Linked DNA regions of Drosophila melanogaster. The protein of the gene in region 1 interacts with the protein of each later gene in a pairwise test. Each region holds a gene or a part of one and is shown on either strand. Other genes may lie near its edges.

Region 1 (10,026 bases):
AACCAAACAATAAATTAATGACTTCAACTTGGCTAATCAAGATTTAAGCCAGAAATATGGCCAAATGATTGCTCAATTTGTCGCAAGCGCTTGCCAGTCATGGGAATATGGAAAAAATTAGCTACTAATTTTGTGTACAGTACAATTTCGATACAATTTAATTTGAGTTCAAGTAATTGAAAATAAGGCAAGACATCAGATTATCCACTATAGCTGACTCCCAAGCTTTTTGAATCATTTTGGGTCAATCGAACACACCCAATTGGAGCGGAGCAAGTAAAGGCGGCTTAAATGCATAATTATCGTCTAGCCATCGGTAGTATTACAATTTTCGACATGCTACCAAACTCGATTCCAATCTCTTGGATTTTTATCTGCCGCACAGCCGCGAGATCAAGTGGCAGTGACGGGCATGTGTCAATGCTGCGTGGGTCGCTGTGGAGCTGCAAGTCTTGAACCGAAAGTGACTCCATGGCATATGCAAATCGCTCAGGGCAACTAAATGGCAAAAACGACGAATATAAATTTGTTTATGGAAGCTGTGACTTCAGGCTGTTGCTGCCGTTGAAAGCTTGCTAATTGACAATTACAGACAAGTCGTTGTTTTGGTAGTTGGGGCATTATGACGACGGATATACACTTGCTGTGATGGTAAAATATAGTCAACTTCAGCAAAGTGAAAGGACTTCATAAGGCGGGATGTTCTGATTTGATTTGCTATTTGGAAGATAGTATTGGCCTTTAAAAGAAGCTTAGCTGCGGCCATACAAGAATTACGTTAAATTTAAGTTGTAAACCTTTCATAAATATTTTTTTAGCATCAACTAACTCATGAATTTAGTCTAGTATTATTCAAAGTCAGGCAATGTATTATGACATAATGGCAATGCTAGTTTATACCAAGCTTACGTAGTTGGCCACCTAGTACTTATGAGGCATTTAGATATCTGACGATAGGAGCGACAATCTAAATTATAGAAAATCTATCGTTTCCGGCGGAATGAACTGATTCAGCTGCTCCGGCTGCTGGCTCCACCATTATGCGGCAGCTGAAGTTGAGCCGATAAATCAAAGAAATCGTCGCCCTGCTTTTAAATTTGAATATTAATGAACCCTTTCCCCGCACTTTCACTGCAGGAGTTTATCATCGTGTGAATGGAGCCACACACAGTGGGAAATTTAGAGAGGGAGCACAGGTGTAAATTGACCTTCCCCGCGAAGGATTCATCGACTCAAGGACCTGGCATAATTAACACGGCGGCTTTTCCCACGCAGGCCCCGTTCGTGTGTGTACGTAAGTATCTAATAGATACACTAATAGCCGCCGAGAACAAAGGTGAAATGGGCAACCAAAATTAGAATTATAAAAAATACAGAAGCGCTAAACGCGGGAAATCAAACGCGCCGCTCGCGGCGAGCCTCAATCACAAGCGGAATGCTCAAATATTTGTGTGATTAGTCCTTATCAACAGTCGCTCACCGGGAGCACCAGGTAGTAGTACACCATGGCCTCAGAAAGGGTCCCGGATCAGGTCAGGGCCAAAAGACAGACCGACTGCGGCTAAAGTCGGGCGCTGAGCCTGCGGTGGTCGCCGGCAATTCCTTTCGTTTAGCATCCTGCTGCGGCAGCAATTGGTTTCGATTTTGGATTTTCGACTTTTCGTTAATAGACCTCTGGCCCTTTGTTTTCAGACGCCCTGACGCCTTTGTGCTGCCGCTGCTGCTGCTGCTGCTACTATTTCCTCCTTTGTTCTCCACTGTTTGTTGCTGCAACTCGCATTTGTTTCAATTAAAGGGATTTGGCGTTGTTTGTTGCCTCGAAGGTGTCAGCAATTGCCTTCAAGTTCACTAAGACGTGTGGACAATTGCAAATTGGCAGCCACTTAAATAGTGCAGCTCGAATTTGGACGGCAGGGATTACAGGGAAAATGAAATAGCTCCTCCTTTTAATGTCGATGTGTAGTATCATAGAAATCCTAAAGGGGAACATGTTCAGTACTAAAACCAAAAAAAACAAACACTCATATATGTATCATTTAACCTTACTTATTTCACAATTAACAGTATTCCGATTAAAAATGGAAAAAATAAATTTTTTATGTGTGACATAGAAATGTTTTTATTGGGATTTAATTTTTACCTTTTTCGAAAATAATGTAAAGTTATTTTAATACGTAATTTAACTTGTACAACTAAATATTACATAAAGATGTTTTACAACAACAAAATATTTCGATTAATAATAATATTACTAGCATCACAATTTATTATATAAATAAAATAAAAATTCAAATATACGAATACAATACTGAAATCAAGCAATAAAAAAAGCCGTCGGGAATGAAAACACACCGAAATAAGTAATCTAAGCAACTAGAGTCAATTATATAAACTGGCTTCCCACCAAATTTGGCTGAAAATAGAGAATATTCGTTTTCATTCAGACGAAACTGGCCTCATTTCCATTCTCAGACTCCAATTAATTTCCAAATGTCTTCAAATTTATGCGCATTTTTATATCCCCACTGTTTTCTATTTTTTGTTTTCCTCCAAATTAATTGTTCGTTTTTCTTAAGGCAAATTAATTGCAAACGCTTGACAATTAAACGCAGGCTGCCTTCGGGGGTCATCGTCATTAATGCTAACTGTGAGGGGGTTACGAGCTGTACATAAAGTGGGGAGGGGGCTCCTAGCCCCCTCTGTCACTGCCTGCGCCGCAGTCGACGCATTTGGAGTTGTGAAAACTTTGCAGCGACTAAAATACTAAATACAGTCTCGTTACAATCTGAGAAGCGCCCGTCTCGCTCGCACTCGCCGTCTGCCATCCCTTTTGCACAGCAGTCTCATGATGAACGCCATAATTACCGTTACGTATACGCCACCATTGCTATTTTTTGTTGCTGTAGCCGATTGGTGCTGAGAGCCGAGCAGAGCGAGATGACACTACCATAAGGGTATCTCGCTCTTTCGCAGAACGGGTTTTGCTCTCTCGCGAGCGAGACAGAGAAAGAGAGAGAGACAGAGAGTGAGCGAGCGAACGAGAGCTGCGGCAGAGAGCAGCGGCAGCAAAAGAACTGAAGAAATATCGACGTGTCTAGTTAGCAAACCAATCTTCAATCTAGTTTCGAACAGTTGACTGCGAAGCGTCGAGTTGAGAGGTCCTACGCCATTGGATCAGCGTCGTCGTGTCGAAGCATCAGTGTAAACTAATCAAACAAATCAGAGGAATTATAGCAAGATTTGAGTGTACAAGGCTTGTCAGTATCGTCAGTACCGACTTGCAGTGTAGTGACAAAGCCGTCTTGAAAAACAGTTAAGTGCTAAACCAAACGAATTGAAACGAAACTCTCGGAAAAGAAACCAAGTGCTGAAGCGAACCTAAATGCTCTGCCCTCCAACCATGCGTCCGGCCAGTCCCGCCGAATCCGAAATCTCCGTGGGCGGAGCCCCCAGCCCGCTGCCCACGCAGCATCATACGCATCCGCACTCGCATCCTCATCCGCTGCAGCATCCACGGGCCAGCACCATTGATCTGCTGCAGCAGCAGCAGCTGCTGATGCAGCACCATGCCGCAGCAGCCGCCGCAGCAGCTGCAGCCGCCTCCGGACTCACCCGGAGTGCCGTCGGCAATTTGCCGGAGGACTACTTCCATCCGCTGAAGCGCCTGCGCATGTCCTCGTCCTCCTCGGAGCCACGAGACCACACGCCCAGTCCACCGTCAGCAGTTCCGGAGCCCCAGACCAACCAGACTACCAAGTCGGCCATCGAGGGGGTCAAGAGCTTCTCCATCGCGGACATACTGGGTCACTCGGAGAAGCAGCGCGAGGAGTCCGTTTCCCCGCCCCCAAATGCAAACCTCCTGGCTCCACCTGCCTCCCGGCCCATTGCCCCCTCGGGCGGATTACTGCAACCACGCACGGAACCGTTGGATGTCCACCCGGCCGCTGCTGCTGCCATGCTCCTGCCAAGCGGACAGATTGTTCGGCCGTGGGATCACCTCCTGGGGCCGACCATGCCCGTCCGCCCCTTCATCCCCTCCGCCCTGCTGCACTACGAGCAGCGCCTGGCTCTGGACTACCATCGCCAGTTGCAGGAACACTTTAACGCCCAGGCCCAGCTCCTTCGCCACATGGGCATGAATCCCGCGATCATCGCTTCCGAGGACGGCAGCTCGGAGCGTTCCCAGCGATCGAGCAGCAGCAATGGCAGCACCGAATGCTGCAGCCCACGGCAGGCGGAAAAACTTGAAAAACTAACCACCCAAGAGGGAAGTGAGGAAGCTCAGAAGAAGAAATCAGAGGAGCAGCCAACGGGTTCAGGAAAGTCAAACGGAGACACTCCTCTGGATGCTCTCTTCCAGATGACCACAAAGGACTTTGACGAGTCGCAAGGTAAGCATCATCCAGGAGATTAAATATACATTGCATACATAGTTATAGTTCGTAAAGGTTCTTTCTTCTTATTGGAAAATAGTTGAGTGGCTTGAAGTGATTGATGATGATGATATGAATATGAATATGATTCTAACTACGAGTCTTATTTAAGCTAAATGAAATTTCCTTAATCAATATCTAAATTATGGAATCCTTAGTAGCCCAATTGATTTCATCAGTGTGTCTCGGTTGAAAAACGTCTCAATTTTCGAAATAAATTTGCGCGATTTCTTAATTAGAATAAAAGCTTCTAATTTGTTATCGTTCTGAAATTGGGGAATCGCAAACGCAGAAGCTGAATATTAAGCTTATTATGACGTTTTCCATTTATCAATCAGCAAATTCGAAATTCGTTTAATTGAAACAAATGGTAGCACTCGCCCGCGACCCGCCATTTGAAATCTTTTGTTATGTAAATTCCTTAACCGATTCGATTTCGGGCTTTTAATTAATTGGCAGCATGCGCCAGCGGTCGACAGAAACAAACGAACCAATTTGATGATAAAGTATAATTCATTCTGCGGCATTTTTATTCTGCAACTTAGGTTTATTTTGGCATAAACTCGACCGAGGGCATTTAGTGGGCGTTCAAGTACTCCCTGCACTCCACCCCCGACCCCAAAGTGATTTCATGGCAATTAATGGTTAATAGTCCGCACTATCCGCATTAGTATATTGGTGTTAGTCGTGTCGATTCTGCAGCGATTAGCAACAATTAGCTGGCTGGTGCATTACCTAATCGAGTTTTGTTGTGGCGAACAATTAACATGCCGTTTCCATTTGTTGCTACTCAAAAATAATAGCTGACAAACTCTAGCCCGTCTGTACAGTAAATATAGTGGCCACAGCTCCAGTCGTAAACATGTTTTAAAATACCCCCAACTAGCGATTAGCGACGACACTCGCTGCTCCGCGTTGTATAATGCCGTATCTCCGAGTATTAAGTTGACAAAATACACATATTACTGTTTATCATGCGTTGTATAAGCTGCGCTCGAAATATTTACGACGGATTTCTTTGGTTTTGCGCCTTGGATGCGTCGTTTGTCTATCATCATCAGTGCGGAGGAGGAAGTCTGCGCAGGGCGATAGGCAGATAGGCAGCTGTGGGGCCATTGGATTCTCCTAATTTATGACTAGGTCCCATTAATATCACTAGCACTAGTCGAAGATATTTTCACATATGGAAAGTGATGTTTCAGCTCTTTTGCCGTGGTATAAACGCTCCAGCTAGTGGAAGGAATGCCAGACGTGGTGTCGCCCCTGCTGGCCAAATCTTAATTGCGATTCTCGGTACTCGCGCCAAATTAAAACATAAACTCCCTGTGGCCAACTGTTGCTCGGCAGGTTCCTCGAAAATCGATCGGGTTTCCTCCTGCGTTCCCAAACGCATTCGACATGAAGCCCTGACAAATGCGACCAAAACAAAACTCCCCCAAGTAAGAGCCATATTTATGCCTGTAAGTGGACACCTGAGTGGGTAAAAGGATACCCAAGTGGCCCGCTCGACTCCCTTTCTCCAGAGATAAGTCATGGAAATTACTTAATGAGGCCCGATAAAAACAAATACAATAGCTGCGGAGGTGGGGGAGAAAGGCTCGGGGAAAGGCTCGGAGAAAGGAAAGGGAGGCGTGCAGTCAAGTGCCTAATGGGTTTTGGGTTACAAAACGTGCTCGAGATAACAAATGACCAAATTATGCATTCCAAATGTACGAGTATGTGTATGTAAAACGGGTATACCCATAGCCAAGCTCCGGAGACTTCGTTTGCATTCGGTTGGAGGGCATTTAATTAGTTTTTAATGTCGATCTAGTTTGTTTGACAAGCAATCGAAATGGGTGTGAAGCCATCGTCCCAAGCCATCAAACCGGTTAGCCAATATTCAATAGATAAATATTTATGCTGATGATCGGCGATCTGCTCCAATCGCTTTGACTGGCACCGCGCCCCGGAATTTGGTTAATAATTTGCACCAGGAAACGTTATGCAAGCTCAATCAGCGCTTTAAGTACGGGTCAGTGGCTCATTAATCAAGCCGTGGCTACGTGTACCACTTAAAACTGATTTGTAGGTGTCAATAATTATTATAAATCACACTACAAACGAGACAAATGAGCCGCTGTCTTGCATAAGTCGCGGCACTGGGAAAGCTGCGATCGTCATTAGACCAACAAAGCCAATGAACGCCCACCACTCGCGCAATCAATCAACTTGAAATTATACACTTCAAGCTGCGAACTGAGGTCGCGAATTCGAGATTTCAGATCTGAGAACTCCAACTGCAATCGCAGTTGCATTCATAAAATGTATCAATCACCGCATTTCCATCAACACGCGCTCTGTTCGGAGAGGCAATTAAAAACCAAGCCAAAGTCGCTCGTTAGTAACCGGTTCGCCAAATGCCGTGCATCGTAGAATTCACTGGCCACACTTGGAGTAACTGACTCCAATTAATATGAGCTATTCGGAAAAATTATCTTCTTATTACTATAACAACATATATTATGTCGGGCGGCAGCGGGCTTAGCATGCGATCAAGTACCTGTGAAGGCATTAAATTCAAATAATGATATGATTGTTCAATAAGCTACACATAATTAAATGTATTAACTAACCCATCATTATCTTCACTCTCATTTTAGATAAATCCCACTTGGACATCTTCTCGAACAGGCCGCAGCCGAAGAAGAAGCGCAAGTCGCGCACCGCCTTCACCAACCACCAGATCTTCGAGCTGGAGAAGCGATTTCTCTACCAGAAGTACCTGTCGCCAGCGGACCGCGATGAGATCGCCGCCTCACTGGGACTGTCGAACGCCCAGGTGATCACCTGGTTCCAGAACCGGCGAGCCAAGCAGAAGCGGGACATCGAGGAGCTGAAGAAGGACTTCGATAGCGTCAAGGTCTTCTCCGCCCACAAGTCCTTCCTGGAGAACGTGAACGACCTAAGCATCCTCAAGAAGAAGCCCATGCATGAGTCAGATATGGTGGGCCTGGCGGCTGCGGCAGCCGCTGCCGGAATGGTGGTTCCCGTGCCTGGATCCGTGCCAATGGGAGGCGCTCCGCCCAAATGAGGGCGTGGCCAGGTGCGCACCGAACCGCCAAGGCAACCTGATGATTGGTACAGAAAGTGAGCAACGAGGAGTCGAGTATTTTGTTTAATTTTGAGCTGAGTGCCGGGAAAGTTGGGACGCATCTTTTCGCCCAATTCATTTTCACCAGGCATTCGACGGCCAAAGGAAGATCCAGGACATCCTTAACATCTTCCATGGCCACGACGCAGAGGGCAAGGGCAACATTCAATGCCAAGCCCCGATGGAGACTAACCAGCCAGGACCAAGGCCCCTTTGTGGGCCGTGTAATCAAGCCAGAACAATCATAGCCGGAAACGGAAGTGGATATGGAACCAGCCAGAACTTGGATTCGGCTCTACAGCCAGGATCACATCGATTATAATCGGCTCTTTTAAGAGCCACCAAACTGATGTACAAAGAGGCGTTTAAATTTTTCATCGAAAGTTTAAAGAGATTTTGATATAGTACATTCAAATGGTGTGCTAAGCAGTTATTCAAATGAAGGTGTTTCGTATAATATCAATATTCCAACACTACAAAACTACAGATTATTTTTTCTAACATTTTAGGAGCAACTAAGCATGTAAACAATTAATTTTTAAAATTTTATGAGTTCAACTTTTAAGCTCCCTTCTTAGCAATCGATGGTTCTTCTCCTTTCCCTGATTAATATAATTAATAAGTTTTCTTATAATTTACAGAAATCTAATCTTATAAATATTTAATACAGTTTTAAGCAACTTAAAAAACACAGTATGTATTTCCCCAGCCAATTAGCTCTAAAAAGCGAAATATGTTTCACTCCAATTAATAATTTGATGCGAACAAAGGCAGATATAAAAGACCGCAAATTGTTGTCAATAAATTTAAGCATATTTAAGCAAACAATGCCCAAGTCACAGCGAGCGCTTCCATTCGGCCTGTTTCGGTGAGTTCAATTCGAATTTGTGTATCTGTATCTGCATCTGTATCTGGAAGCCAGCCCAGCAGTTCTAATTTGAATATTCTGCTGATGCTTCGGCGCGATCGATGCTAATGATGTTGCTACGGATTTTGGGGCTGTGCTGAGTGGCGCAGTCTTAAAGTAAAAGAAATCTTTTTTAATTTTTATTAATGATTATTTACAACCGTTATTCATAAATTCAAACTAATTAATTATTTATTTAATCACTTGGCACGATCGAAAACGAGTTAGGCAAAAACTGCGAGTCGAAACTCAACACTTTTAAGTGTGCAAAGCCGGGCGATGATGTGACTGGCTTTTTGCCGATTTGTGCACGTCGCCAATTTGCATACGAAATTTACTCGAAATTATTTCGATATTTATTAATTTTCGATGCGATCATTTTCATAAATTTCCAAGCCAAAGTCGGCTGCTCTCTGGCTACCGTTTGCGGCTAAGTTCAAAGGTGGCCCATCATCGCCAGCGGCGGACACATTTTTCAATCCCAACATGACGAACTAACTGAGAAGCTGAGGAGCTGAGAGGCCGACAAGATGACCTGCGATCTCTCCGCGACTGAAGTGCGCCATCAATCTCGGACTCGATTTGGTCCCACTCAAGCGAACCCAGCGAACTTGGTCAGCAGCCGATCGTTTGTTAATCATTTGAATAATCAAGCTATCAATTCCGCTGCTAATGATGCCCGATACCAATCCGATTCGTTTGGATCGCATACGACCAACTGGTCCATTCGAAACCCACTCCCAGTGTCTCACAGTTCGTAAACTAGACGGGAAAAGCCTCGTGCATATGGATGAGATGCAGATCGACTATCTCGAAACTTGGTCGAAAGCAATTTATTTTCATTTCCAAATGTGTGACAATGCAACGCATGCGCCGCGATAAAAACTTTTAGTGGGCCCTAAAAGCTTCTGATTACTCGGTCTTCAGCGTTATTAATAGGCTTGGAAAGTGACCGGCGAAAGTATCTCTGGAGAGCATTTAATTGAAATAGAGTTGTACTACAAATTACAGCTGCCATTACCGGTGGCATTTTTTTTATTGGCTGAGAAAATTTGCCCCGCAATTCGAGGTAAACGTAGCCGGGCTCTAATTATGGGAAAATCTCTCCGAGCACTTCCGTTAAAACAAACAGAAATGCGTAAACGTGGAAACCCATTAATCGAATCAACTAAAAATGCCTAATGAACCCACCGCACAGTAAGTGGAAGTGCCCAATGAGCCTTTTAGCTCGGTTTAATGGGCCCAGATGCGAGAAAATCGCAGTTGCCTTGATTGCGGTACTGAGTAGGTTGGGAAATCATTACCCTGTTAATAGAAATAATAGACAAACACGGTTATTCTCACAATATCAATGGGAAATGGTCCGCTCGGCTGGGAAAAAACATGCCCCTAACTAAGCTAAATTTTGGGAGCCCTCCTTGAAAATTTTTTTATAGTTAATGAAAATCACCGTAAACCGTCAAAATGTAATACACATTAAAATAATACTAAATTGTTTAATATTATATACGCATGAAGAAATGAAATCTGCTGCGTTGTCCTATCTACATGTT
Region 2 (6,858 bases), on another chromosome or scaffold:
GCATACCGCCAGCTGGCGAGGCGCTATCATCCAGATCTGCATCGGGGTGCCGAGGCCAAGGCGGCGGCGGAGACGCAGTTTAAGCTGGTGGCCACCGCCTACGAGATCCTGCGCGATGAGGAGTCGCGCACGGACTACGATTACATGCTGGACAACCCGGATGCATACTATGCGCATTACTATCGCTACTACCGGCGACGCGTGGCGCCCAAGGTGGATGTGCGCGTGGTTATCGTGGTCGTCCTAACCATTGTGTCCGTCATCCAGTACTATTCCGGCTGGCAGCGCTACGATTCTGCCATCAAGTACTTTGCCACGGTGCCCAAGTATAGGAACCAGGCCCTGGAAATAGCTCGCGACGAGATCCAGGAAAAGATCCAGAAGAAGGGCAAGAATCGTATGTCCAAGAACGATCAGCGCGATGAGCTGGAACGGATCATCCGGCGGGTGATCGAGGAGAAGATGGACGTTAAGGGCGGCTATGCGAAGCCGACACTCTGGGATGTGCTGTGGGTGCAGCTGATCATCTGCCCCTACACGATACTCTCGTTCATCGTGTGGCACGCTCAGTGGTTCTGGCGCTACACGGTAATGAAGCAGCCGTATGGCCGCGAGCAGAAGCTCTACCTCATCCGCCGGCACCTGGGCATGGGCCAGCATCAGTTCGAGGCGCAGGAGGACAAGCTGATCGAGGAGTACCTGCATCTGAAGCTGTGGAAGCGCGAGAACTTCGTCGCCTGGAAGGCAGAACAGGAAGAGGAGATGAAAAAGAAGCTGGCGGAGAATCCACGATACAAGGCGTACAGGCGATACATGAAGAACCACGGACCCGGCCGCATCACCTTTGAGGATTAGCCGCTGCTCTGCGATGTTCAAGTTTCATTGTTCCATCTAAAAGTCTGTTGTGTGCGTGTTGTAAAACCGATCCCAAATTCCTCGCCCTCGGCATCCCCATACCGTCTAAATTTTGATACATTTATATATATATATTTAGAAATTTTTTGTACACCAACTATATCAATATGAATTATGTTAATGTCCCGGTGTTGTCCGCCAAAGGGCGAAACGTTGACCCCGCCGGAGCGATCCGCCAAAACCGGTTCAAGAACGTGGCCACGTTCGGTACGCGTCGGCACAGTGTCCACTGGCTGCCGTGAACGAACCATCCTAGAACAATTATACCCCTACCTGGCTGGTCACAAAAAAAGCACGCCACATTCGCGTGTTTCCTAACTAACTTGACTAAACCGATTACTGTAATAAACTAGATAAAATTCAAACGTCTCTCTTACTGGTTGTTCACTGTGCCTGGTTTGCACAGTTGTTCTGGATGGCCAAAAATTCGATCTCGTGGCATTTATTCGCTCTAAACAGCATCTCTCCGTGCTTTTGTTTACACAGTTTGCTTAGAAACAATTTCGTTTTTTATTGTTTCTTGGTTTGGTGCGGTTGCTGAAAGTTAAACTTAAGTACGTGCTTGAAAATAAGCTGAAGAGTAAAGAAGTCTAGATTTTTCAATGGTAGCCTTCAAATAAAGTTGATTTGTTTTGCGAAATGCTGACTTTAGTTTCGGATACATGCGTGTGGCTCTTGCATTTCGCTATTCGCAGTTCACGTATACCAATTTTTATTTAAACATGTCTTCAAAGTCCTCAATTTGTTTAAAGTAATATAACAGCATAAGGTAGTGAAATAATAAGCATTTATTACCTTATCATTTCTTCTAAAGAATCAAAGTCCTCAAGTTGTTTAATGTAATATAATAGCATAAAATAATAAACATTTACAATCGTATAATTTCTTCTAAAGAATCAAAGTCCTCAATTTGTTTAAAGTAATATAACAGCATAAGGTAGTGAAATAATAAGCATTTATTACCTTATCATTTCTTCTAAAGAATCAAAGTCCTCAAGTTGTTTAATGTAATATAATAGCATAAAATAATAAACATTTACAATCGTATAATTTCTTCTAAAGAATCAAAGTCCTCAATTTGTTTAAAGTAATATAACAGCTTAAGTTACTAAACTAATAAACATTTATTACCTTATCATTTTTTCTAAAGATTCAAAGGCCTCAGATTGTTTAAGGTAATATAAGCATAAAGCATAACTTACCAATATAATAAACATGTATTAACTTTTCATTTCTTCTAATGAATTGTTAAACAATAAATCCCTTTAAAGTAGCTAGAATATAAATGCACATTGTTAACTACTTATTGTGGGTTTGTAAGGTTCTTCGCAATTGCTCCCCAAATAATATTCGCATTAAGTAATATTCCATTCACATTACTATATATGTTCTATTTAAAGCCACTTTCCATAAAAAATAGCCAATATTTCATAAGCTTTCTATCCGAATATCTCCATTTTATTTACACCGATTTCTTAGAGCTACGCTTCTTAGCCTGGTTGTCTAAATGGTACGGGGTGGGGAAGTTTGGGGCCATCCTTGTGTGGAGACAGCCCCTTAGTGGTGCGGTGAGTTGTCCCGGTAGTAATACTATTCTATCATGTACTTGGATTCGTCACAGAACTCCTCGGTGTCCAGCAGATCGCCGACCAGTTCCTTGACAGAGTCAACGCTCTGGTAGCCACCGACGTACGGGTAGGAATCGTCATGCTGCAGCCCTTCGCGGTCATTGGCCTCCTGCTCCGCGTTGTCCTCCTCGTTGAACATGAAGTCATTCGCCACAATGCACTCCTCGAGAACCTTTGTCTGCTCCAGCTCTACGGAGTCCAGCGAAAAGGACTCGGGGATTTGCTGTTGCTTGCGCGCTGACTCCTTCCGTGCGGAGGCATTCTGGTTGCGACTGGATGCATCAGCGGATGATGATGCGACCGATGCCTCGCCGTTGCCCGAGCCTCGGTGCTGTTCCATATGAGCCGACAGATAGGTCTTCTTGGTGAAACCCTTGTCGCACTGCGTGCACTGGAACTGCTTCTTGCCGGTGTGCGTCCGCCGATGGGCGGACAGAACGTGAGCATAGGCGAATCCCTTGTTGCACACCTCGCACACATACGGCCGCTCGCCGGTGTGGATCCTCTCGTGCTTCTTGCTGCTGCCAAAGTCCGAGAAACGACGCTCGCAGTGCCGACAGCTGTAGGGCTTCTGGCCGGTATGGACGCGCATGTGGCGTCGCAGCTCAACGTTTGAGATGAACGCCTTCTGGCACACCTCGCAGGAATATGGGCGCTCGTTGTTGTGACGCCGCATGTGGGCATTTAGCGCGTGCTGGTACTTGTATGTATTACCGCAAACATCGCAGATCTTTGGCGAGCGTTCGCAGTTGCGGCGTTTGGTCGTGGAACCGGCCTTAAAATCATCGTCCACGTTCGCCGTCAGTTTTTCATGCTTCACATTGGGCGAAACGCGACGGTAGGTGCGCTTTTTCTGCTGGTTGGCGGGATGAGTAGGCGGCAACGGCAACGGCGGACTGGCCACCACAGACTCCTCGATGAGCGGAGTCTCGATCTCGTACAGATGCTCCGGCGTGTTTTCGTCATCCCAAGGATCCAGTTCCAGCATCTTGGCCTGCCCCTCATCCTCATCCTGCTGTTTTTTAGGGTCCTTTTCTTCTGCCTGCTGAGTAATAGAATCCTGCGCTTGAAAGTCATTCAGGGATAGGACCATCGCTCCGTCTGGTATCAGGGATAGTGAATCGGTCTTCTCCTCCTTGACATCCTCGGAGGGCTCCGTGCTGGTAGTTATTGTACCGCTTACTGAACTGGAAGAGCAGGGCTCCACGTTGAGCCTCCTTATTTTCAGTGTTGCTGGCAGCCGAACGTGAGCCTGTTCCAGATCAAGCTTAAGCTGCTCCTGCTGCTTATCGACCAGCATAGGGGCAGGAGGAGCAGCAGCAGCGGCGGCGAAGACGGCGGAGGTCGAGGTAGAGCGGCTGGCGGAGCGAAATAGCTTCTGGACAGCGGTGCACTTTTCGTGAAAGCGATAAGAGACGGACAGCTCCAGATGGCACTGCTTGCAGATCTTGTCCGGCCAGCGCTGCAGCTGCGACGGGCTGCTGTCCAGCTGCAGGCTGGTGCAGCAGCGAATCTTGTCCAGGATGAGCATATGAGGAGACTCCGGGTCGTGGCCATAGATCGAGCTGGCCTCGGGCTCCTCCGCCAGGCAGACCAGGCAAGCCACGCCCAGGTCCACCACACGCGGCTGCAGGTTGTTGGACATTGCTCCAATCTCGGACTGAACCTGCGTTATGGCTCTTGCTCAAGCTGCTCCCAAAATTCGCAACACGCGCAGGCAACAAGAAAACACTTCTTTTGAAATAGGGATGGCACTTGCGTGTTTTTCGGTACCTGACACTCAGTGTGGCAATCACGAGACTTGCGCTATTATCGTTTTATTGGTTATTGGATATTTATTGGTTTGGTTATTTCTTTAAATTAAAAATGTGCAGGCCCTTTTAGCTTAGGTGTATATTTGAAAGTGGTATAAAGCAAGGCAAACTATTTTAAGATTCATTATTTTTTGTGAATTTGCGATATTAGTAGCGATTATTTTGTATCGATTATTTTGTAGCTATGATTACCCACCTCTAGCGATTGAGCTATCGATGATTTACCTTTACGAAAAGTGCGTCTGGCGTGAAGTGTTTGGTTTTCAGCAAATTAAGGATTTAAGTAGGCAAGCCTGGAAATAACTTTAATTATATTACTGACATATCATCACTAGTTTTCATACTTTACAAGTGTTCGTTTATGTTTCTATACAAGTGAAATTATTTTCAACAGAATTTAAATTGTTATATTTCGCGCTTTTCGGTAAAACCATTTATCGGCGAACAGAAGATTTGCTTTTGACGGCAGGCAGAAGATTTGCGTTTGACGGCAGGCAGAAGAAGTTGATTTTATTCAGTGAAAAATGGATTGTAATCCAAGGTTGCAGGTTGGCCAGCAATTATTCGAATTTTTTACCAAGCCGGAAAAGCCGGATGAGTCTGGTGGCGATGTAGCAGCTCCGTTGCTCTTGAAGAAATTCGGCAAGTTGATCCGTTACAACAACGATGATCTGACCGAGCAGGGTGACTTGACTTTGGCGGCCATCCCGCGTTACTGGCAAAAATATTTAAAAAGCCAGGGTCTGAAGCTGCGCATCGATGGCGACGAACTGCTCCCCAGCCCGGTGGACCGCCTGGAGTTGATGGAGCATTCACGCAAGTGGCGTTTCCCGCTCGCCGAAATCACTGTGCTGAACAAGGAACGCTACTCTCTGCGTTTCCAGCGCCATCCGATTATTGCACATGTGCTTAACTCTGTGCTCACGCTGCGCGGCGATTACGGCCGTTCGGCAAATAACAACCAATCGCGCACCATATGCTTGCAGTTGCAAGCCGTTGTCGGAGCCGTCGATGGCGGGCAGGACTTGCGCCACTATCGCTTGCAGCAGCTATACAAGATACTGCTGCGCCTGGTTGACTACTCGTCTTGGCGCCTCGTGGAGCCGAATGACCGCCAGAAGGACACCATCTGTGTGACTGTCGAGCTGGAGAAATGCTGCAACGGCAAGCAGCCCGTGGAACATGTGTGCCTCACATGCGGTCCTGTTTTGGAGCCGATAAATAAGGGCGCCAGCTCATTGACTGTTGACGAGTACTTAAAGTAAGCACATACTGTATTAGTACATGTTTCGACAAGCTCTTTTTTCGGAGTTAACCTAAAAACTCACATGTTTTGCATCTCTTTCTTATTCGTGTTTTCTTTCGTATTCTGCTTCTTCAATGCAGGCTGCGCTGCCAGCACATGGAGCTGATGGCCACGCAGCGCTCCGGAATGTGTCCGGTACCAATGAGTAGCCTTGATACGCTGACGAAGCGTCTTGCGGCCGCTGCCGTGATTGTGGATCTCTTTGTGGTGCGCCACTCCAGCGCCGTGAGTGTGGTGCGCAATGGAGTTGGCATTTGCAAGGGCGCTTCTTACATCTTGTACAATTCAGCACGTCTGGAGGCGCTGCTGCGCAAATTTAATTATGAGGTTAACAATTGTGCCTATGAGAAACTGCCACTGCTGGATGAGATCGATCTCAGCGTTCTAGAGGATGATGTATGTGATTTTTGTTTGCCGTATCATGCCATTTTATGATTTTTCTATGTTCTTTTTGCGCAGGTTGACTGGGAGTTGATTTATGGCTACCTCCTTACCTTTCCGGAGCTAATGGAGTCCATAATGGATCAATTGGACCAGGGTCATTGCGGTCTCCATCTGCTTGTGCACTATGTTGAGAACCTGGCTGCCGCCTTCAGTCGCTTCTATTATCATAAGAAGGTCCTTCTTCAGAAGCGCGATGAACTAATGCCGATCTTGTACGCCAGGATCTACCTGATCAAGGCGGTGAGACAGGTCCTGAATACGGCTCTGGCCGTCCTGGGCATAGAACCGGTGGACTACGTATAAAGATATGTTGAGCATATCTTCTATAAACAAAAAACAAAAAAAAAAAACACAAAAACAAGAGGCTAATGCGAAACCATAGCAAAACTAAATGCTGGCTCAACAGTGGGCGGTAATAATATATGTAATAATATAATGACATGTGATCTTAAAAGGGCCATACAATATTGATATAACATAGTTACACCTCTCATTTTATCGATAATAATCAAAATATAGCAGTATCTACTTGTAAACAAAATAAAACGTTGAAACGTTGAATAAAAGACTTGCTTTTTGTATGAATACAAAAGCTCATTTTGTACAATCGAGTCGTTTATTATTGAAAGAAGTATCAACACAACGTTTATCATTGAAATGCGATTTTGTTTAAACACTTAATGCTACGTTTTCAGAACAGGAATCATCACGCATACATAGCTACATCTTAATGTATGAATGTCCTAGCTAT
Region 3 (8,349 bases), 2.8 Mb from region 1:
ATTTTACAGTCGGGGTTTTTTTTTTAATGTCTATTAATGCTGCAGCATCTGACATGCGATAACACAGTTGTCCTTGACCTAGTTGTAGAACATAAACATAATAGATGCACATCAAAAATGTTTATTTATAAGATCGGTTAAGTTTTAATATGGCAACGTATGACAGACATTCGTAATACAAACTTGCGTAAATGCATTCAGGAGTTCGCAGTTTTATGATTATTTATCTGATTACATATTTTAGCCTTGGTATGTTTTCCCACTGGGGACGTGCGAGCGTATCTTGTTTAAATATTCTTTGGTCTATATTTATAATAATTAAACAAAAAAAAAAAAAATATCTAATTATAAAACAATACTTTCTTCGATGACTATAAATTTGATATACCTAGAGTTCAAATAAATATTTTAAATATACTTTGAGATCATCTTGAGATACTTGTTTACTCTTTGTTTCTCGCCTTTTGGCGATGTTCGTCTAATACTTCCCGCAATCGCTTGACGAAATTAGCTTGATCTCTCGGAATAAAGCCCAGGAAGGCGTTCCTCGGGGACGAATACAGCAGCATGATAACCTTGCAGACGACCTCGGAGGAAAATCGGGCACAGCCACAACTGCCGGCGGACATTGATGATGCTAGCGAGTCGTGTTCTTCTCCAGGTGTCGATCGGAGAATTATAAGTTTCGAGTCCTTTATAAACGCTCCGGCGAACTGACCAAGATAAATTGAAGGCATCAAAACCATAGGCATATCAGTTGGCCAATCCTCCGCACTGATCCCGGGATCACCGTTTTTTATAGCTATGTACACGGAACACTCAAGCTTGTGACTAATGCTTGGCTCCTCTAAACTTGCTTGTGTCGACCAATTCAGCGATCCAGTCCATAGGAGTTCATTTATAATGGCATCTTCCTCCACAGGAGGCGGTTCTTCTGGCTGTGGCTGCTTGGGTGTTTTGACGCCCGGCTTTCGTTTTGCACCCTGAAGAATCTCCTGCAGTCGTTCGCTAAACGAATCCTCATTGTTGGGTATGAAGCCAACCAAAGCTTGATGATCGCGCGAGTAGATGAGAATTAGAGCCTTGATGTTGCAGTTGGGATTGGAGGGGAAGTGGATGCAACCAGCGAAACCAGAGCTCATCGCCGTGATCAATAAATTGAGTACCTCTCCTTGGCTGGATCGGAATACAACCATCCTGGCATCCTTTAGGAATTGTTCGCCAATTTTACCCAGCACTTTTTTGGGTATCAGTTGTGTTTTCAGCTTGTTTGGCCAGTTCTCCGTGTTGATCTCCGGCTGACCTTCTTTAACCATGGAGCAGATTTTGCATTGGACCGTGTGCAGAGTCTTCGGTTGATCCAATATCTGTGCATCCTCCCATTCGAGCTCTCCACTCCAAATTGTTTCCTTTGAGTCACCATTTTCAGGATTTTCCGGTTCTTTTTGCAAAAGCAACGCCCCAATCATATGTGTTAGACAATCGAGTTCCCCTTCGTCATCACCCACTCCTCGGGCTTCCTCTGGAACCGGCTCCATGCCCCTTTCAAGATGCAATCTAATTAAATATGGATTTTGTCGGATAGGCAACTTGTCGGTTAAAAATTTGTTTATCTGTGATATGCTTCTTCTTGCTTTTAGCGGTTTGTTATTGGTATCGCACTATCGGTTGGCTGGTTGGTCGATTGGCGGCCATCGAGATGCAACGCAATGCAACCCTGGCCAATCACTCTCACTTCTTCTTCTGCGTTTGTGTCAAAACAAAATTAAAACTAAAAACTCGCTAAAACCGTCTCGCAGCGCAATTATCTTTAGACTTCGTGTTATTTATGTGTTTGAATGTTAGCGTCGGCACCCCGCATCCCAGTGTTCATAACCCCATGTGTGCCACCTTGGTTTAAATGCTACCAATCTCCTGGCAGAGTAGCGCGTCTGAGCGAATAAAAAAACTGAACATGTTTCGCTCCAAGCACTTGTGATTGACCAAATCTCATCTAAAGCCCTGCCATGCTGCAGTACAAGAGTGCCGCCAGTGCGGCGACTAGTGCGCCACCCGCCACGCCTTTGGCGGCAGGCGGTTCCAGCAAGGCGACGATTCCACCAAATGGAGCTAGTGCAGCAGCTTCACAAACGCAGGTTCACGGTGCTCCCGGGACACCAACCATGCAGCAGATCATCAACATTCACCAAATGCCTCCTCAGTTTGCAGGCGGAGCGGTTGCCGGGAACGGACAGAACGCTGGCATGCCCCAAAACATGTTCCAGATCGTACAGCCCATGCCCATGCAAACGGTGAACATTGATGGCCAGGAGGCCATCTTCATACCAAACCTCAATGCACAACTGGCCACCGCTCAGGCGGTCAACTTCAACGGGCAACAGGCCTTTATCACGCCCAACGGTCAAATTCTGCGGGCTCCCCAGATGGCAGCTAATCCGGCAGCCTCTAACTGCATTCAGCTGCAACAGCTGAACGGCTTGGGCCAGGAGCAAACCCAGCTGATCACCATACCCGGCACCAACATTCAAATACCCGTCACCAATCTCATTCAGCAACAACAGCAGGCACAACAAGTGCACCAGGGTACAGTGCAACAGCAGGCACAAGGAACAAATGCATCTGGAGCCAATGGATCGGGAGTTACCAATAGTGGGACAGCGGGTCAGCTGCCGGGCAGCATCACCATACCGGGCACAAACCTGCAGATACCAACCTCGGTAGCGGCGGCGAATGGATTGCTGGGAAACATCTCCAATATCTCCAATTTACTAGGCGGCGGGCAATCTATAAAGTTGGAGAACGGCCAATTGCAGATGCGGCCGCAACTGGTGCAGTTTCCGGCGCCAGCCATGCCGCAGCAGCAACAAACGGTTGCTGTGCAGATTCCCGTTCAGACTGCTAACGGACAGACCATCTACCAGACTGTACATGTGCCCGTCCAGGCAGCGGCAACATCGAGCGGCGGACTGCAAAACCTGATGCAGGCGCAATCCCTGCAGATGCCCTCCGCCTCGCAGATGCAAATCATCCCGCAGTTCTCACAGATAGCCCAGATTGTTACGCCCAACGGTCAGATTCAGCAGGTGCAACTGGCAATGCCGTATCCTCAGCTGCCTCCGAATGCCAACATTATACATATCCAGAATCCCCACCAGCAGCAGCAACAACAAGTACAACAACAACAACAGCAGCAGCAGGCGCAACAGCAGCAGCAAGCGCAACAGCAACAGGCACAGCAGCAGCAACAACAACAGGTCCAGGCGCAGCACCAGCAGCTCCTTCAGGCGATCAGCGATGCCTCGGCGGGGGGACAACTGCCGCCCAATCAGCCCATCACCATTACCAATGCCCAGGGCCAACAGCTGACCGTGATTCCCGCCCAACTACGCCCAAATGCGCCTACCGCACCCACTCCTGCTCCAGCTGGTGTGCCCACACCAATGCAGATGCCCAATCTTCAGGCTTTACCCATCCAGAACATCCCAGGCCTGGGTCAAGTGCAAATCATTCACGCCAATCAGCTGCCTCCTAATCTGCCAGCCAACTTCCAGCAAGTACTAACCCAACTACCCATGTCGCATCCTCAAGTGCAAACTCAGGGCCAAGTTCAGGTGATGCCCAAGCAGGAGCCGCAGAGTCCAACGCAAATGATCACCAGCATCAAGCAAGAGCCGCCGGATACCTTTGGACCCATTTCCGCAACTGGTAATCCTCCGGCACCTGCCTCTACTCCAAACACAGCCTCACCGCAACAGCAGCAGATCAAGTTCCTGCATACGGAAAGCAATTCCCTGTCCAGCCTGAGCATACCAGCCTCCATTCAGATCACAGCCCTGCCACAGCAAGCGACGAATACACCGAATACCCCAGCCACAACCCAACCAATTCCCGTATCGTTACCTGCAAGAAGTAAGGTCAACGCTGTGACCACGTCAAGCACCCAGATTACAATTGCGCCGACTGGTGGCCAAGTGGTGTCCGTCACGACGCAGGCTAGGGGAGCAACTGCCAGCATAAGGAGCACGAACACCAGCACGACGACTATAACAACGCCGTCACAAAGCCATCTCAATATGAACATAAGTGTGGCCAGCGTCGGAGGTGCTGCAACTGGCGGCGGCGGTGGAACAGCGACTGGAGAGCCCAAACCACGCTTAAAGCGAGTAGCCTGCACCTGTCCCAATTGTACAGATGGCGAAAAACACTCGGACAAGAAGCGCCAGCATATATGCCATATAACCGGCTGCCATAAGGTATACGGGAAAACTTCCCATCTAAGGGCTCACCTGCGTTGGCATACTGGCGAGCGACCATTTGTCTGCTCCTGGGCGTTTTGCGGCAAGCGCTTCACCCGCTCCGATGAACTGCAGCGCCACCGACGAACGCACACGGGAGAGAAGCGTTTCCAGTGCCAGGAGTGCAACAAAAAGTTCATGCGCAGCGATCACCTGTCGAAGCACATCAAGACGCACTTTAAGAGCCGCTCTGGCGTGGAGCTAATTGAGCTGAGCATCAAGCAGGAGACCAAGGGTGGCAATGCACCGAAAAGCATTAGCACGGTGAACGGCATTGTGACGATTGAGATTCCGGGCGGCGGTTCAGCGGCGGCGGGCAGTGGAGCCTCCAGTGTGGCGGCCACGGTTGCAGGCTCAACTGTGACGCCGGGCGGGGCCACGATCGTTCAGCTGCCGACTGTGGAGGCCAGCGGCGGGGGTGATAGTTTCGGCGATGATGAGGACGACGAGGAGGATGATGAATTGACCGAAGAGGACGACGAAGACGAGGAGCTCGACGAGGACGATATGGATGATTGCGAGGATGAGGAGGATGACGAGGATCCAGAACTAGACAGTGGCGATGAAGTGAAGATGACAATTGCGGTCAGTGAGCCTGGCGACAATTCGTCCAACTAGCATTCGGAGTCGCTGTTCATGGAACAGTTCTTGTTTGACCACTTCCCGTAGCACCCACCGCCCCCTGCCGCGCCCCATGGGACCATGGTTTAGCAATATATAAATTGTACATAGCGTAATTATGTAAAAGCGAGCATTTTAAATGTTTACCCTTCTTGTACAGCTCCGGTTGCGGATCATCCTAGATTAGTGTACATAGCTTAATCGACCATCGTATTTTAATTAAGATTTTTATTATACATTTTATAACATTTTTAGGGATTACATGTTTTTAATTAATTAACACCAATAAATGAAGAACTTTATATAGTTTAATATATGGACATCAGGCTATTGAGGTGACGTCGATCGGCTCAGATTCTGTATTTTGAAAAGTGATAGTTCCTTCCGAATCAATTGACGGTCCAATCGACAAGCTTTCCGAATTAATTTGATCACACCTTACCCAGCTCTCATTCATCTCTGTCTCTGGACAGTTTACCTGATCGTCAGGCTCTTGAGTCGACGTGGGTCGTACTAATGTGCTCAATTGGGTGCCAAACATATAGTAGTCCGGATCAGACTCCGTATTCCGGAAACTGTTATTTGCTTGCGAATTTATACATCCAGTCCGCATCCTTCCTAAATTAATTGGATCACATCTCACCGAATTCTCATTAATCTCTGTCTCTGGACGGTTGATGTTCTCATCCTGAAATCCTGACTGCTGCTGTTCGTCCTCATCGTCTCCGATGCCGCTAAGATCAGATGACGACACGCCTGGCGGAGCCATCGCTTCCACTTGAAAGTTCATTTGAGACAGTGAACTAAGATTTGTGTTTGCTTGGTCCTCGTGGCTCTGCACCGCGTCATTAGAAGATGCATGAGCGTCTGGAGAGGATTCTGGTGCTGATAGGTTTTGACTCTTTTTCTTTTGCCATCTATCCAATCGGCTGATGTTCTGCTTCTTAGTCTCGGCTGCAACTATTTCTCTTCGCTGGGCCACAAACTCCTCCGGATACGGTTGGACCATCTTTCTGCGCACCGCTTTCATATACATTCGGTTGATGAATCTCTCAGACTTGTTCACAAAACGTCCTTTTGCTTCAAACCTCTTTTTGGCTTCCCACAGACAATTCCAAGCGGTCATATCAACCTTCACTTTGGTGCGTAGACAAAGCTCCTTTACCTCGTCCTCGGTGTATGGGCGTGCCAAGTCCTCCTCGGTTATTCTCTTCAAATACAGGATACTATACAATATACAATTTCAATTTACAAAATGAAATGCGTCTTACCGTTTTTTCGTGCATCCATAGAATCAATTTGTTGTTAGGATCGCTTTCTTTGAATTGCGCACGAATTTTTTTGTCCTCGTCGGCTAGATACTTTCTCAGGAAGGCAGACATTTGCGTCCCCGACATATTAACCTTTTTTTAAAAACACGCAACATTAAATTAAATAAATTACAACTTTTTAAGGGCATTCGCGGCTAATGGATCTATCGAAACTCTGTAAGGTTATCGATTAGTCAGTATTTACAGATTTTAATGGTTTAGCTCGATTCTAGCTAAGTATTTTCGTTTGCTGTCAAAATAAACTCATTTTATTTTACAAATTAATAATTCAAAGCTCCTGATTTCAATCCTATAAAAAATATCAATTCAAAAAACAGGGGTCTTAACTGTCATACAAAATATAGCTACTTTCTCAATACGCTAGTTGGAGCCCCTGCTTGCAAATTCTTTCCGATAGCCGATTAACAGCAAGTGGGCATTTCCGCGTACGCCAAACCAGCGCACAAAAGAGAAATGGAAAACGAAGGAAAGCGAAGAACGAAAGTTTACACATAGTAGCAGCAGCATAAATTCACAAATAAATCGTCCATCCAGAGATCTAAACTACATAAAATATATCGCGTCGAAAGCCGAGTCCTCAGCAAAAAGCATTGACCGAAAAAAGTGGCTAGTAAAGCAAACAGTACGAAATATCTACGTGTTTTTATTTTCAGCCCTGCACCTCTTTGACCATCTGTGTGCGTGTGCGTCTTGTGTGTATGTGTGCGTCTTGTGTGTGATGTGCTCTTGTTTTGTTTTGACTGAAATCCCATTTGAGTAGTTCTTTTTACAAACAAACGTTGTCTCACACTTTATCAGAACACTAGGCCGGACTTCAGTTGGACGAATAAGCACGCATTTTGGACAAATCTTGCCGTGATACCGTCCGCTGATAAAACCGAGTGGCAACTCCGACTGCTCACCATGTATACAAAAACAAGAACCGACGATGAAAGCGAGTCGCGTGATAAATAAATGAAAAGCAGAGGCCCAGCAGAAGAAAGAGCGATCCAAAACGAATAGGTTGATTAGCAGAATCGTCGCTTCTGTTCCGACAAACACGAACGAAAAGCAGCAAAATAATAAAATAACAAATATAGGACCCAAATAAAGGCACCAAAAACGGTAGAAGTCGGTTAAATTTCACAGTGAATATCGAATATTGCTGAATCCCCAGCTGCGGCTTCCTTTTTCTTTCAAAATCCTCGAGTAAGTGCAGGCGGAGAGCGAAAAGAGCGCGCGAAACGAGGAGAGACGGCGAGTAAATTTGAGCCAGAATTTCCGATTGAGGTGACTTCCTAGGAATAGTGAACTGAGCCAGGTAATCCTACACAGGTTCCTGATACCCACGATTTTCAATATGCGACATACGGCTTTCCTTCTTCTTCTTGTTTTGCCCGCCCACGCCATTCTTCTTTCTAACTGTATAGTGTTTCTGTGTGTGCTACGCGTCCGTGTGTGTGCGTGTGTGTTGGTGCTTGCACTTTGCGCGCGCTTACCAAAATCATTTTCGTTTGCATTTATTTATGATTTACAATTTACCATCCGCAGCTGTGCGAAAGCCAATAGCAGTTCTTTAAAGCCTAATATGTGTATCTTTAAAAAAAGGTGCATAGACAACGTTCCAAAATACATATCCAATGCTATTTATTAATAAAATATAAAGATTTTTCCTAAAATCCTCCAACTATTGAGTTTGGCGGTATTTTCCATATCGACCTTTTACCTTGTACTTAAATTTTAATTAATAATGTTTAAGAACTGCTATTAGTTTTACCTTAGCTGTATATGTAAACCAAACCCGGACCTCAGACCCACCTTTGTTTACTAATACAAAATAATAATGGAAACCACTTTATTAATATTTTGCAGAGACGCTTATCATCAGGCGGTTATTATGAAAGGTTATGATTTGATTCCAATACTCCTAGATACATTTAAGCTAAAACTCAAAGCATTCATTTTTGTTGCTAAGCGAGGTTTTGTCTCCTAACATGAGCCCTAACTTCCTTGAAACAATTCCAGATTTTAACTTGTTATCTCTTACCTTATACATATATTAATATAACTCTCTTCTATATATACCGAACAGGCAATCATTATAAAATGTCTCGTAACAAAGA
Region 4 (6,882 bases), about 17 Mb from region 1:
GTTAAGTTTTTGATTTGCATTAATCTTTTTTCTCTTTTCCCAAAAGTCTTTTTCTTATTGCTAGTAGTATATAAGTCGGAACGGGCCAGATCGGAGCACAAAACCACATTGCTGCATAAAAACAGCCAAAAACAAAAAGCAAAATGTTACTTTATAAAAACGATATAAATTTACAAGACTATTAAAAATATGAAAACAGATCATAACCTTTTTGAAAAGTGGGGGCGTAACAGGGCTTGGGGAGCTTGTCGGCGTTAGAATGGGCGTGGCAATTTTTTTGGAATGTCTATAAAAATTTACAAGTCTGTCCTTAAAAATATCAAATCATTTTTCAAAAGTGTGGTCGTGGCAGTTCTGGGCTTTAAAAGGGGCGTGGCAACGTGTGTCAACAAGCTTGCGATGCGTCCTTGTCTTTATAATCTGTATGCTTAATATCAACCTTCTTGCTTTTATAGTTCTTGAAATCTCAACGTTCATACGGACTGACAGACAGACGTGGCCAGTTTAACTCGGCTATTCATCCTGATCAACAGTATATATACATATATACTTTATATGGCCCAAAACGCTTCCTTCTGCATGTTACGTACTACTTACAACGAATCTAGTATACCCTTTAACTCTACGAGTAACGGGTAAAATGACATATTCATTCACCATATGGAAAACTTAAACCTAGTAACGGTATGGTATATAAAACATGAAAATGTATCTTCATTGTTTTTTTCTTAACGTATCATTTCTACACGGGTGTTTCAGCTTTCTTTTTGTAAAGTTTTATTTTTGACCACTATTTCAGTTCTGCGTTTTTATCAATTTTAAAATGTGAAATTGCGATTTGGTTATTATCAGCGTTGTGCTCACTAGAAATACGGGTATGTTTGTTACATATAAATAAAACACCATATCGAAATGGCCTACTTCTTGATATATGATATGATATGACTAAAGTCCACATACATTATTGTATTCATTAATAAAAAAACTCAAAAATAGTATCATGATTCCATAAACCTTCTACTTCTTTCGGGCTCAGTGATTTCGACGTTTGTATTGACGGATAAACATGCCTAGAGAGGATCGGCAAGTGAATCTGGTCAAGAACATGTATGCGTTTTAGGTTAGGAATCCCATGGTTGCCGAATGCCCTCGTCGATCAATCCAAACTGCCCGCTTGTTAATTGCCAACTATCACGCATCTTGAAAAATGATTGTTTGAACTTGTTGCAGAGAGTGGTCTCAAGAAGTTTTAGGTGCACTGTGTATCTGGAGCAAATAGTCGCAATTGTAAAGGATCGAATGGAGACGGCATAGATCATTGTGTCACTTGTGCGATGTGAACGACGTCGCACTGTCTGGCCGATATGAAAATATTCTCAGGCCCGAGAAAAACAATAAGCAGGTAGGGGACACGTAATGTAAGGACTGCACGCCCCTATCAAGCGGACAAATTTTCGATTGTCCGGGAAGCTGGGTGTCCACCTAGATCCGCTTTCATAAACTGCACCTATTGTCCGCTTTTAGAAGTGCCATTGATAGTGACCAGGAATCGATTGCTGTTCGAACAACGAATTCCAAACAAAAACACATAGGTAATTTTTCGACTTGTCGCAGACACTGTGTCTAGGTCTCTTTGCTCAGGTGAACCACTTTATTGTCCTAATGAATGACGCAAGCTGTCAGCTGAGTAATGGCGAATTTACGTGGGCACATCTGGACCGAAAGAGGACTGTGGGAAAGATTGCCAGCGACACGAATGCACTTTTCCCTTAGTTTTGGCGCTGCTCATTATCGCGGCTTGGTCGGTTTCAGCTTGTCTGGGGTGCTGTTTCATTTTGGGTAATTTGTGAATGAAATTTGGATAGATTCGGACCAAATGACTTGTGCCTTTTAATCCTTTTATGACAGTTCAAATGCGATTTTCCGATTTGCCTTTGATATTGGCGGCATGACGAGCGGTTTGTCGCACGATCTGGTTAACGGGAAGTGACAGTGGATCATTAACATGTAAAGGTAATGGTTCTTGGTTTTTAGCTCCTCGTATACTCGTAATGGAACTATGCATTTAATCATTGGGGAACAAAATTGCAAGTTCTATGTACATTTCTCCTCATTTCTAACACCGCCCAGGTAATAAAGGTCTTTCTTGTACGGTTTTTCTTGTGTATTTTGTGTTGTAAACATAAATCGTATAATTCAACTCTCAGATATAACCATGATCGTATAATTTTGTGTATAAATCGTATGTATCTGGTAACCACGATCAGCTTATAAAACTGTTAAAGTATCAGCTTTAGTATAACTTAGACGTAAATCCGGGCATCTCTTAAATTTCTTAATCGCTTAGCATATGAGGAAGGATCACTTAGGGATTATTTACACATGTGCCGAATATCATAACCAGTCACGTAGCTGGAAGTGTAAATACGCGTTAAAAAATAAATATCTCAATATTTGCATATATCGTCGAGGTCCAAAGATTGGGTTTGGTGAGTGCGCCACATTGCGCCAGGTACGGCTGAGGTAGTTCTGTCCACGATTGGCTAGGCAGTTTTTGCTGGCGTTAAGTTTCGTTTCGTTGGATTCGGTTCGGTAATGCTTGTTTAAAGCGTGCAAGCGCTTTACAGATCGCTGGAATGCAGGGTCGCGTGGCAAGGGGAAAGCTCGCCAGGATTTCCCTCTCAGTAGCCATAAAGGTATGAGTACATGGGCACGAAGATGGACGGGCCCAGCTGGCGCTCCTGCGGCATGTGCGTCTTCATGTGCTTCTTTAAGTGGTCGCGTCGGCCAAACTTCTTTCCGCAGGCACTGCAAGGATACGGCCGCAGTCCGGTGTGGATTCGCTTGTGACGCGTCAGTTCCTCATTGCGGGTGAAGGTCTTGCCGCATGTGTTCACGTCGCACTTAAATGGGCGTTCGCCTGCAGAACAGAATGGAGATAAGTGAGTGGGACTCTCGGGGTCAGATGTGTTCTGGTCGACTTACCGGTGTGGATGCGGATGTGGCCCTTCAGCTGGCCGTTGTTGGAGAAGGCCACGTCGCAGTTGGGGCACTTGAACTTCTTCGGCCGCTGCTTGCGGCTGTTGAGCGCCTTTAACTGTGCGTCCTCGGCCATCACGCGGGCGTACTCTTGCTCCATCAGGCCCATAGTGAACGGGTCCATGCCGAAGCCCGGGACGGCAGTGGGCGTGGAGGCAGCAGCGGCTGCTGCGGCGGCGGCAGCGTAGTAGAGATCGCTGGCGGCCGACAGGAATGGAGCGTGCTGGTTTGGCGGAGCCAAGGATGCGGTGGCGGCGGCGTGCGTGTCCAACGGCGACGACTGCGGGTGTGAAAAGACGGGGTGCGGGGCGGCGTCCAGCAGCGGGGTGGAAGTGCGGGTGTAGCTGCTGTGGTTCAGGGCCTCCTCGTAGCAGGACTTGCTGCTGTTGCTGCTGCTTGACGCAGAGGAGGATGCGGAGGAGAAGTCTCCGTCGCAGTCGTGGCCGAAACTGCTGCTGGCCAGCTCCGTCTTGATGGTAATCGCCTCCGGCTCCTGCTTCACTGTCCTGGGTGCCGCCGAGGTCGCCGCCTGGCGCTGAGTATCCCAGGGTCGGAAAAGTCGCGAGTAGGTTTGCGGGGGATGCAGGTTAATCGTCGACATTTTGCAGTAGTTTTAATGGAAGGTCTAAATTGCTCTCTCGCGACACTAAATCACTTGGATGGAACACTTGTGATTATGATTTTGGACTTGATTTGGTTGTGCGGAGCTGTGTGTGTGCTGCGAGATCTCGACTCGAACTGAGCTCTCCTGCCCCGACGCCTCTCAATTTAAACCCAGGACTCTGGCTACCTACACTTCGTATACCCAGGCAGTCATTCGTCCTGCGTTCACACACACGCGCACACACATACACACTCACCCGCACACGCACACGCACACTGAGGGTCGCTTCATTCATCGATTATTTGTCTGTCTGAGGATGTGCGAGCGAGAGGGATGCTTCGGGGTGGGTTTCGCTTTCAGAAACGGGCACGGATTCGGTTCGGTTCGGTTTCGAGGGCACAACAATGGCGGCCCGCTCGCACACACACTCGCAGCTGAAGTATATAAGGCGCTGGTGTGTGCGTGTAGTCCTGCGTAGTTTTCCCGGTCCGGAAAATCGAACTCCCGACCGAGTGGCGGGCAGCTTTCCTAACTTGCGCTTTCTACTCTTTCCACTCCGTACTACATATACTGGGCCCAGGCGATCCCAGCAGCGCGGTGCCTCCGATTTGGGCGCAACTTTAGCAGAGCATTTGCGTTTCACGGTTATGTTATGAATTGTACTCACACCCACCCACCGACCATGATTCCCGGGTGGTTGGCTTTGGGCTTGGCTTGGCCCACTCTCCCAATCCCAATCCCACTCCCAATCTTATACCCATTCCCAGTCACAGTTTCCTCCTCCTTCCCTCCGTCCAGACACAGATACTTCTCCAAATGTATAATTCGGTTATCTGCGGTTCGGGTTTCCTGTGCCCGATGTGGCAGCAATTTATTATTAAATTAAGTGCTTGTTCGAGGGTGGCTCCGCGACATCACGAATATGCAAAGTGCGGGCCAAGCAGCTGGGCAGGATTTGCAGAGATTGCCAGGCTTGAGCGTGTTGTTCAGTTGGTACAGTTCGCCTAAACTTTATCTTTATCTCTGGGGGTGCTTGAGAAAAACTTTACTGGCTCGTGGAGGCGTTTGCCCTAACGCGATTCTGGCTGCAGACTACGAGAACAGATACAACATACTTTGGCTGAATGTGCGTTGCTACACCTAATGTTTTAATTTAGAAGGCGATATTGGCTTTAAGAGTTCGTGTTTAAGTTCACAAGTTTTTCGCATGCATTGGTAGCCGCTACAAATTGCTGTTGCGTTTACTTTCCACTCCAATTTTCTGTATGAATTTGAGTTTAAAGGGAAAATGGTACTTAATATTAATACATACCCTCTAAGGATTCCCACGATAGGATTAGTAGTGTTCTGAGTTCAATCTTATTTTCTAGTCAACAAGCATTGGAAGTAAGCCTTCTCTAAATTATGAATATATGCCTCCTATTTTTGCAGCCAAATGTATTATATACCTCTATATTCTTCGACAGATACCTGAAATAATTTCGAAATCAAATTCTAATTCTAATCAAGAGACGACGGATACAGCATATAATCATAAAAATGTTTGCTGCTAGAATTAAAAGAAAGATTTGCGGAATTGAACGAAATATTTTCGTTTTGTTGTTTTTTAAAAGAGTATAAAACTGCTGTCATCGGACCAAAGCGATAATAACTTCCTAAAAGATATCTGCTTTCTAGGGAAGGTGCATTCCGCAGGCCTAGCGCCTTATGCCCCTGTCCTGCCATTTAGAACAAAAGGGAAATCATTGGGATTACGTCCAACTGCATTGTTCGACCAATGCTAATGAGTGCAGCGGCATGGCTGGGTTGTTGTGGGTTTGTTAGTACCTATGTATATGTAGAACCGTCCATAAAACGCGGTCCGCGGAGAACATTTCATTCACGACTGAGCTCATTTAGTAAATTCATTCATAAACTGGGATTGCCGTGAGCAGGGACGATCCTGTGATCTGGATAGATCCCTTGGTGGTCGGGTGGCAGGTAGATAGCCGATTGGGCTGGCTTGAGGGTGGTGATACTGTAAAATTCACTAGCTTATTTGCGTAGGTTTGGACTTGGGCTTGCAGCAGCCTGGGATTTTCCGCAGTAGATTCTTAAAGTAATGAGCGCCGGTATTTCCACGCAATCGTCTCACAGCCCGACGGGTCGTAAACTGCAACCTACCTAGGACAATGCGGCACTCATAACCGGTATGAAAGGAAGTTATAAAATAATTAGATATGGTAACCACTCGGCCAGCGAACGTGAATTCATTCATGGAATGGCAGGATTGCCTGTAACGATTAGCTGCACTGTCCAATACCTGACGGGATATACACCCGAGATAAGAACACGACGTAATATTCATATTTGGATTAATTAGGAAATTTCACATGCGCTCGAGCTGGGACACGCCACATATGAGGAAAGTACGTGAATTGTTGATATAGGATGGACGTAGACCCAGACGGCGACATGATCAGGGGAAACTTCCAGCGTAACTAAACTTCAGTCGGCAAATTACTTTGCCACAAGACACATAAGCAAGATTACGTTTCAAAGAAGTGGAATCGCAAGATTTAGCAAGCTAGACCTGATCCCCGCTAATAGTACCTATCATTCCAAGTGTGTAAACTTAATAGAGTCTTCACGAGCACATAGATTACGACTGGACTAGGGGTAGGGGGTTTCAATAAGCCCCCAGCTCACTATTTGGTGATCCTGGACGAAGATTGAAAGTTCGAACAATTTCGAAATGGTTTTCCTGATTGAATTTTCTGAATTATGTTTATGCGGAAAAGGGCTATTAGCTTTTTCAAAAAAGCATGTCCAATGCATGTTTTACAAGGAAACCAAATTACAAGAAAAAATTTCAACTTTCTTAATGTATAACTTTTAAAAACACTCGTAGAGTAATACCTAGACTATCAAATGCCCGTTAATCTGCTCTGAGATATTGATAAGAATCTGGAATACCAATAATAATATCAGTAGTATTTTTTGTCGTTGTAATTTGTTAGGTTAAAAATGATATGTTTTTTAGAGTATATTTTAGTAAGTGACTTAAATTTTACATCTAGTAAATGTGGTCAAATTGTTATTCTTATTTATTATTATCAGAATTAGTAATAAGAGGTAAAGAACTGGAAATATCATTTAATTCGAAATAAACTTTTTATTTTAAATTTTACTCAATATGGGAAAATTGATACAAACAAACATTTAATTTTTGTGCAATACAAGGGATCATATATACATTT

Evidence for each region.
Region 2: the proteins of lbe (region 1) and CG9215 interact in a two-hybrid assay, tested with the Drosophila melanogaster proteins (one large-scale study listed by BioGRID).
Region 3: the proteins of lbe (region 1) and Spps interact in a two-hybrid assay, tested with the Drosophila melanogaster proteins (one large-scale study listed by BioGRID).
Region 4: the proteins of lbe (region 1) and hkb interact in a two-hybrid assay, tested with the Drosophila melanogaster proteins (one large-scale study listed by BioGRID).

Annotation. Positions count from the first base shown.
Region 1 is NT_033777.3:21,439,450-21,449,475, reverse strand, and holds lbe (ladybird early), read left to right. Parts: upstream 1-2,938; 5' UTR 2,939-3,382; coding exon 3,383-4,391; intron 4,392-7,075; coding exon 7,076-7,506; 3' UTR 7,507-7,899; downstream 7,900-10,026.
Region 2 is NC_004354.4:15,578,581-15,585,438, forward strand, and holds CG9215 (uncharacterized protein), read right to left. Parts: upstream 4,295-6,858; 5' UTR 4,189-4,294; coding exon 2,506-4,188; 3' UTR 2,350-2,505; downstream 1-2,349. Other genes in the region: CG7872 (uncharacterized protein), read left to right, coding at 1-855; CG8097 (uncharacterized protein), read left to right, coding at 4,882-5,618, 5,744-6,059, 6,123-6,410.
Region 3 is NT_033777.3:24,220,313-24,228,661, reverse strand, and holds Spps (Sp1-like factor for pairing sensitive-silencing), read left to right. Parts: upstream 1-1,727; 5' UTR 1,728-2,006; coding exon 2,007-4,913; coding exon of another isoform or gene 4,914-4,964; 3' UTR 4,965-5,217; downstream 5,218-8,349. Other genes in the region: CG13609 (uncharacterized protein), read right to left, coding at 444-1,538; cav (caravaggio), read right to left, coding at 5,239-6,126, 6,188-6,319, 6,737-6,754; twin, read left to right, coding at 7,815-7,834, 8,099-8,130, 8,319-8,349.
Region 4 is NT_033777.3:4,342,864-4,349,745, forward strand, and holds hkb (huckebein), read right to left. Parts: upstream 3,784-6,882; 5' UTR 3,641-3,783; coding exon 2,986-3,640; intron 2,921-2,985; coding exon 2,682-2,920; 3' UTR 2,152-2,681; downstream 1-2,151.